Linked DNA regions of Ovis aries. The protein of the gene in region 1 interacts with the protein of each later gene in a pairwise test. Links are inferred from orthologs where the notes say so. Each region holds a gene or a part of one and is shown on either strand. Other genes may lie near its edges. The genes, in order: HNRNPF and HNRNPM.

Region 1 (3,912 bases):
AAATACAAGGTTATGAATAAAAATCTTACTATGCCAGGCTGGTCTTGAATGAGCCTGGCTCTCCCTCTGCCCCATTTTCTGTCTTCCTCAAGAACCTTTGTGGCAGCTAATTAGGGGCAGGGGCCCTGGTAGAAGACAAGCCGTCAGGCAGACCTTTGTCCCGGTCCCACCTATATCCCTTAAGACACATCTGTACGATGACAACACAGTAATAATTCCCTGCAAACTGGTCATGAGCATGCGATTAGAAAATGTGGAAAAACACCTAGCTCTGTGTGTGGATCCAGTTAAGGATCACTTAATGTGTTTCTACAAAGAATCTGAGAACCAGAGCTCAGATTGGAGAGGGCAGGTTGGTGGTAAAGTCAGCTTTGTGGAAGGTGGCCCCCTCCCACTTCTGTAGTCTCTTCAGGCACCGACTCCAAATGGCACGCACCCCTTGTCTCCACACCCTCCCTCAGTTTCGGCCACAACAAGGACTAACTCTCCTCAAATCAACTCACATTTTACAGTTATTTTATGTTTAAAGGGAGCTCTGTAACAACAGTACTCAAGTGAAAACCAGTCACTTGCCAGTTAAAGAGAAAAGCAACAAAAAGCAAATAATACAAAAAGAACGTTACTAAAATAAACGTTAAAAAACAGACACCGTAAAACGGAAATAAAAAACCGAATCAACTTACAGAGAATGCACACAGGAAGATGAGATCCCCCAAGGCAAAGGATGAACCTGCTTAACATCCGTAATAAAGCGATCTCTCTCAATATTCATTAAGTGCAGAAATTACTTTAAAATGAAAAGAGAAAAACTGCCTAAAAATTAGCACTGAAAACATCACTGATAGGCCCTAATAGGTTTTTATCTGACCGGAGAACCCGAAACTATTTTCATTTTTACTAGAAATTCAGAAAGTCAACTTTTAAAAACGTGACTGAAATACTGACAATTAGAGTAAAATCGATAGTTTCGATGCTGTTTTTAAAAGATTTGCCGCCTTCAACCCTCCGAGTTCCACGAGGGTCGGACCACGCGAGGCCCGCCCCCAACGCCGGCGGCCTGGGCCCCTCCCCCCGCAGCCGGCGGTTCCCGGAAGCGGCCGCGCCGCACGGCCCCCGTCAGCGTATGGCCGCTCGCGGGCCGCTCTCCCGCCGAGCACCCGTCCGCAGTGGCAGACAGGCTCTCTCCCCACAACCTCAAACACAGTTGTGAAGCATGGTCGTTCGTCTTAGGACCTCCAGGGGAAGAAAACTGCCGAGGGCATCCCAAAGGACGCGGGACTCGCCGGTGCCGGCGTGGTGGGGGCTGGGGGTGCGGCGGCTCTCCAGGGCCTCAAGTTATTTGTTGGGAACCTCTGAGAGCCCTTTTAGAGTACATATTAAAGGGGAGAGGCCCACGGCCCCTCCAACCGTTCAGGTAAAAGACCAGGGTCCAAAGCCGGTCGGGTCCCCGCAACTCGCGGAGCCTCCCCCGGGCCGCCCGGCGCCGCCTTCCGTGAGCCACACGGGAACAGGGAGGGGGAGGTGCAGCGCGAGCAGCGTCCAGAAGTTTCTCGGGCGCAGGCAAGAACGGGCACAAAGTACATTCAAAGATAAAAGTAGTACCGACAAGAAAAAAGAAACGGCCAAATTAAGATAGCTCACCAGAAGTGTGGTCACCAGGCCAAGACAACGAGAACCAGAGTTTCAACCAAAATACAGGCAGGACACCTCCAAGAGCAGGAGACGAATGCAGACGGGGCTCAGGGCACAGAAGCTGCACGGAGAGGAAGAAAAGGCCCCAACGCTCGAAAGTCGAGGCTCGGCGAGCGGGAACGTGGGAGGAGGGAGGAGTCAGGTCCCAACCAGTCTAGTTCAACTCGCGGACGCGTTCAGCCACGTGCAAGTACCGCTTTCATTTTAAAATGACCCTCCTAGAGCGGTTGCCTGGTCTTCCCACCCTACTCCTGCCAGGGGCGCTAGGGCTCTGCTCCCTCTGGAGTCCGCACGAGACTCTCCTTCCCCTTCCCTGCCTCCCAAAGCCCAAACCTCAGCCCCGCCGTCTAGTGCCGGGAATATAAGGCCCGTGACCTCAAATCCACCTCCCCCAAGCCCAAATCAGTCCCGCGGTCCCCACCCTCAGTGGGCCGGGTCCCCTTTCAGTACCCTGTCGGTCCCCGAATACACGGCCCCTGACCTCAGTTCCATTTCCTCCGACTCCAAACCTCAGCCCCGCGGTCCCCAACTACCCCCGTAGGCCCAGACCCCAATCGGTCCCGGGTGTGAGGGCCTTCACCCCAGATCCCGCCTTCGCTGACCCCCAAATCTCAGTCCCTCGACCCTCAATGCCAAGTGCCTCAGTCCCCAGCCGGTCCCTGGTAGGCGAGCCTCGGACGCCGCCTGTCCCACCCCTCACCTCGGGGTCCGAGTCTCCACGCCCCCGCTTTTCTTCACATCCGGCACCTTGGTCGTCCCTCTAAGCACCTAGAGGAGGGTGGAACGCTAGGGACTTGGCAGTTGTGACTGAGGCAGTTGAGGCTTGTTTACCATCACCATGGAAACCCCTGGCAGCGCGCCCCGCGAGGGGGCCCCGAGGGGCGGGTTCAGGCACGCGGCAGGCCCGAGTCCACAACCCCCGCCCGTTGTGCGCACTCGGCGCTTCCGGAAGCCCTAAAGCTCTCAGAGTGCCCTACCCCTCCTCAGCCCCACACCCAAGCACCCAGGAACAGGAGCACCAGGAACTCACGCCCCCGCCCCGCTCCCGGCTGCCGGCGTAACAGCTGGCCGGTTTCCCCGCAGAATCCCACCTGCTTCTCCAACAAGACGCGGCGCAGTCCCACTTCCAAGACGGAGCCGGAAAGACGCAAAGACCGCGGAGGGGCGGGGTCTCCAAGGCGGGCGTCCGGGGGCGGAGCCGCGGGGGCGCTATTGTGACGCTCCCGGAGCGGAGCCGGGGATTGGCCGGCTAGTAGTAGGGCGGGGCAGGGGCGTACGGAGCGGGGGCGCTGCTGAGACGGGAGGTACGGGCGGGGGGCGAGCTCTACAGCATGGTCAGTGGGGACTTTTTGAGCCGCAATAGATACTGACTGGGAGAGTCCCCCAAATATTGAGCCCAAAGGACGCCTGGCCAGGGCAAAAGAAGAAAAAAAGAGTTATTTCCTGCTGAGAATTGAAGAGGGAACCGAGGACACCGGAAACCGATAAAGGCGGCTCCGAGGGCAGGGTTTAGAGAGGGATTAGCAAGTTGACCTGGGGTTGCTCAACTGATTCTTTCTTAGGCTTAGAAGCCCCAGGGTTGCTAAAGGTGGCCTTCAGGACCCCGAGGAAAATTAGTTTTCAGTCAGAGCCCCTGAGCTGACTGGCAAGGCGGTAACTGAAATGGCTACCCTGCCTCAGGCAGTGGAGCAGATTCTTTAATGTGTTCTGGGGTTAATAATTACTATTTTATTTTTGGAGCTTCCATAAAGAGGAATATATAAAGGCACTCATCACTGGCTAAGTAGAAGATTATTTTAAAAACCACCAGTTAATAAGGGGGTGCTTGGAATAGGGTCCGATTATGAGTGAAAGTGAAGTGTTAGTTGCTTAGTCGTGTCCAACTCTGCGATCCTGTGGACCATAGCCCGCCAGGATCTTCTATCCCTGGAATTCTCCAGGCAAGAATACTGTAGTGGGTTGCCATTATGAGTAGTTACTATAGAAAAGGAAGGAGCACAGTTTGTCACCAGAAGTTGATTCTAAGGGGAAAAGAAAAGTAAAAGCAAGAGGACTTGAAAATAAAGAGAAAACTGATGAGGCACAATTACAGAAAACAGGTTCTTCAAAACTCAAATAAGTTATTTGTAAGAAATCCAATGACACCATCACAGGTTAGGCTATAGAAAAGTCTGACTCCGGAGAAAAAATGCAAGTAGCTAATCTGAGGCAAATATTCAA
Region 2 (3,812 bases), on another chromosome or scaffold:
CTTCCCTGCCCCAGGATGGACTTTCACCTGGATGTCACAAATGACCCTATATAAAAATTCTGACTGTTATACTTCACACACCATAAACTTCACCCTTTCTCCAGGCCCTGGCAATCACAATCCACCTGTCTTATGAACTCGCCTGTTCTAGACATTTCCAATAGACAGAATCAAAGTTCATCCATACTGTAGCACGTTACCAGTACTTCTTTTTTACGGCTAACAGTCCACTGTCTAGATTTACCATGTTTTATTCACCCATTCATCAGCTGAAACCATGCAGCCATGAACATCTGTGTACAGGTTTCTGTGTGGGTATCAGGTTTCAGCTCTCTTGTAGTGTATACCTAAGAGTGGGACTGCTGGGCCATATGGTAATAACCAATCTCTTCTGAACCCAAGTGCAAGCTGGCTTTCATTTTTTTGCAGTTTGTTTTTTCCCAGCTACACCTTCTGTGTCCTGGGCAGCCTGCCTCACCGCAATGTAATCCTAACAACCCTTCCTACGTTGTCTCTCTGCTCATTTTTCACCCCAAAAAAATTTATAAGGAAAATAATCTTTTTGAATCTTTTGCTCAAGAACAGTCTAGATAACTGAAGACTGACATCCCAACTTCAAAGGTAATTGTAATTTTCTGGTTATAAAACATTAAATTCAAAATTGTAGCCATAAATAATTGAGACACTTACGGGGAAGTTGCTGTGGACGCTCAGGAGGGAAAAAATCTCCCTTTGGTAAGGCCCTCTCATCCTGAAAGAGAAAGTGAATAAATCTCAGTATTCCCTGCAGCACTGCCAGCAACAGCAAAAGCTGGAAGCAACTCCTATCAACAGAGGACAGATCAGAGACATGAGGATACACCCATGGCACAGAAGAACATGCCAAATATACATAAAAGAATATGGGGGAAAAAAAAAAAGAATATGGGAGAGTTGCGACCTTTCATGTAAAGGGGGAAAGATAAAAAATAAACATTCACATCACTGAGGGGGAAGAATGGGACCTGGACACAAAGTAAGAGAAAGACTCTCACACTCAAACTTTTCATGTGTTCTGACTTTTGAATCATGTGAAAGTGAAAGTCGCCCAGTTGTGACCAACTCTTGGTGACCCCATGGACTGTCCATGGAATTCTCTAGGCCAGAATATTGGAGTGGGTAGCCTTTCCCTTCTCCAGGGGATCTTCCCAAGCCAGGGATGCAACCCAGGTCTCCCACATTGCAAGCGGATTCTTTACCAGCTGAGCCACAAGGGAAGCCCAAGAACACTGGAGTGGGTAGTCTATCCCCTCTCCAGTAGATCTTCCCAACCCAGGAATTGAACCAGGGTCTCCTGCATTGCAGGTGGATTCTTTACCAACTGAGCTATCAGGTGAATCATATGAAGCAATTATCTATTCAAAAAGCTAAACTGAACGCTCAAAAGGAACAAAACAAATCCTTAATAGTTTCTTCTATTTTCTTCCTGATCTTCAGTCCTAACTAGATGACCCTCAGCACATTCCAGTCATGCCTGTATTAATCATTAATACTGTTATCTTTGGCATCTTTGGCACAGCCACAGCTGTTTATACTAAAATGCTCCAAAAGAACTTTAAAGGCTTTCTGAATCAGACTTCATTATGTTTACAACAGATAGGATGCTAAGCAAACATACTTCCAATACTCTGAAAATTGGAAACCTATGTATATAACCATTCTCTGAAACCAACCACTTGCTCAAGCAGGATACTCAAGTGACTACTGATCATGCAAAGGAAAAAATATCTGAAGAGTTGTATGAGCAGAAAGTTATTTGTTATTTGTCATAAATTTGCTCAACATACTGCAGACTTTGACTCAGACTGATCCATAAATAGAGCACAATGGCTATGTGCATGTACACTCTTAAATAGTCCCATGTTTTTGCTAACCTTATTCGAGTATATTAAAGAGAAAGAGATCCTTGGAATTCCCTGGTAGTCCAACAGTTAAGAATCCATCTGCCAATGCAGGGGACACGGATTCAATCCCTGGTCCAGGAAGAACATATGCCACGGAGCAACTCAGCCCATGAACCACAACTACTGAAGTCCATGTGCCCTAGAGCCTGTGCTACACAATAAGAGAAGCCACTGCAATGAGAAGGCCTGTGCACCGCAGCCAGAGAGTAGCCCTCACTCCCAGCAACTAGAGAAAGTCAGTGTGCAGCAACAAAGATCCAGCACAGCCAATAAATAAATAAAAGACCCTATTAACTTACCATTTTCACGTGCATTGGTCTGTCAAACAGCAGCTGGCCATTGAACATAGCTGATATTACAATTAAGGCTATTTCTTGCAATTCTAAAAACATGCATAGCAGCAAAGAAATACCCAAAAGAAAAATACTCCAACTGCGGCCACCAGTCCTTCTAGGTAGTGAATTTATGAGTAATTTTGATTCCTGCTTATACTTTCAAGTATTTGCTCCTACAGTAAGCATAAAAGCAACAATAAACAAGGCTCAAGGGGGATAAAACGAAACCTCTGCTTACTCCTTAGGTGTGGATCTTCAGTCATAAAACCTTATACTTCTCACTAAACCATTCTCCTCTTAAAAAGCACTCACATTAGGGACTCCCTTCATGGTCCAATGGTTCAACTTCATGCTTCCAATGCAAAGGAAGCAGATTCGATCCCTGCTTGGCAAACTAAGATTCCATGTACTACATGAACTCCCCCTTCCCCCGCCACCGCCCCGCAAAAAGAAAAGAACAACGCTGACATCAGTTTTCCTAGTGTGTCCAATACGCCCGGTGTTCTAGCATGTTTTGAAGTACCATATTTTCTGGGTAATATACTCAGTGACAGTCTTACCAGAGTTTAAGATCAGTGTTCATGTGTGGTATTCTCTCTGTGGTCACTCTAGAGTGAGCAGCCTAGAGTCAGAGAGGTGCTTCTTCCAGAATGTCAATCCACTGGAGAAGACAGGCCCTGTAAGGGTTTACCTCTCCCTTCAAATCAGACCTTCTAAAAAGAAAACCCTGGAGAAGACTACTCACTGACATGTGCCCATTTTCGAACCATCGCTTCTATCTACACAGTATTGGACTCCTGTCGTAATATCCACAGTAATGTATTCTCTCTAGTCACGTGTGCATACACACTCACTTGTGTCTAACTCTTTGCGACGCCAAGGACTGTAGCCCATCAGGCTCCCCTGTCCATGGGATTTTCCAGGCAAGAATACTGGAGTGGGTTGCTATTGCCTCCTCCAGGGGGTCTTCCTGACCCAAGAATCATACCCATATCTCTTGCATCTCCTGCACTGGCAGGTGATCCACTAGCACCACCTGAGGATCCTCCAGTAACACAGGAAATGCTAATACACAACATTACCACTTCCCCACACAAACCTGCATTACTAATACAACACTTAAGCCAAACTAAATTCACTAGGTCGAATTCCAAAAGAAGGATACATATAGCTTGCACGGCTTCAATGGACTGTTCAAAAGTAACAGTGCCTATTCCACGACTTTTTCCATCTTTATCCTCAAGAATGTCTGCTCGGACCACCACACCAGCCATACTAAAAACTTCCTTCAGTTTCTTCCAGCCAACTTTATAATCCAGCTAATCAAGAGAAGAGAGAGGAAAATCTCACTGTAAACATTTTTACTACACTTGTGACATGCTTTGGGTAGAAAACAAGCATTAGAAAATGTTACAAAAATAATGTCATAAGCCTTTTAACTACTATTTACTGAATAGTAAAGTCTTTTCTCTGAAGCAACGATTTAAGTCACTTCATTCCTTTCAAATTAATGCTTATTTTGTGAATACTAAAA

Evidence for each region.
Region 2: the proteins of HNRNPF (region 1) and HNRNPM interact in binary tests that used the Homo sapiens proteins (3 or more experiments, as listed by UniProt). The two-hybrid records come from large-scale screens. The link is inferred for Ovis aries from reciprocal best matches to the Homo sapiens genes HNRNPF and HNRNPM.

Annotation. Positions count from the first base shown.
Region 1 is NC_056078.1:13,149,308-13,153,219, forward strand, and holds the start of HNRNPF (heterogeneous nuclear ribonucleoprotein F), read right to left. Parts: upstream 2,842-3,912; 5' UTR 2,784-2,841; exon of another isoform or gene 2,723-2,783; intron 2,461-2,722; 5' UTR 2,393-2,460; intron 1,798-2,392; exon of another isoform or gene 1,642-1,797; intron 788-1,641; exon of another isoform or gene 1-787.
Region 2 is NC_056058.1:14,822,464-14,826,275, reverse strand, and holds part of HNRNPM (heterogeneous nuclear ribonucleoprotein M), read right to left. Parts: intron 3,598-3,812; coding exon 3,444-3,597; intron 2,293-3,443; coding exon 2,243-2,292; intron 752-2,242; coding exon 691-751; intron 1-690. UniProt on the Homo sapiens protein: Pre-mRNA binding protein in vivo, binds avidly to poly(G) and poly(U) RNA homopolymers in vitro. Involved in splicing.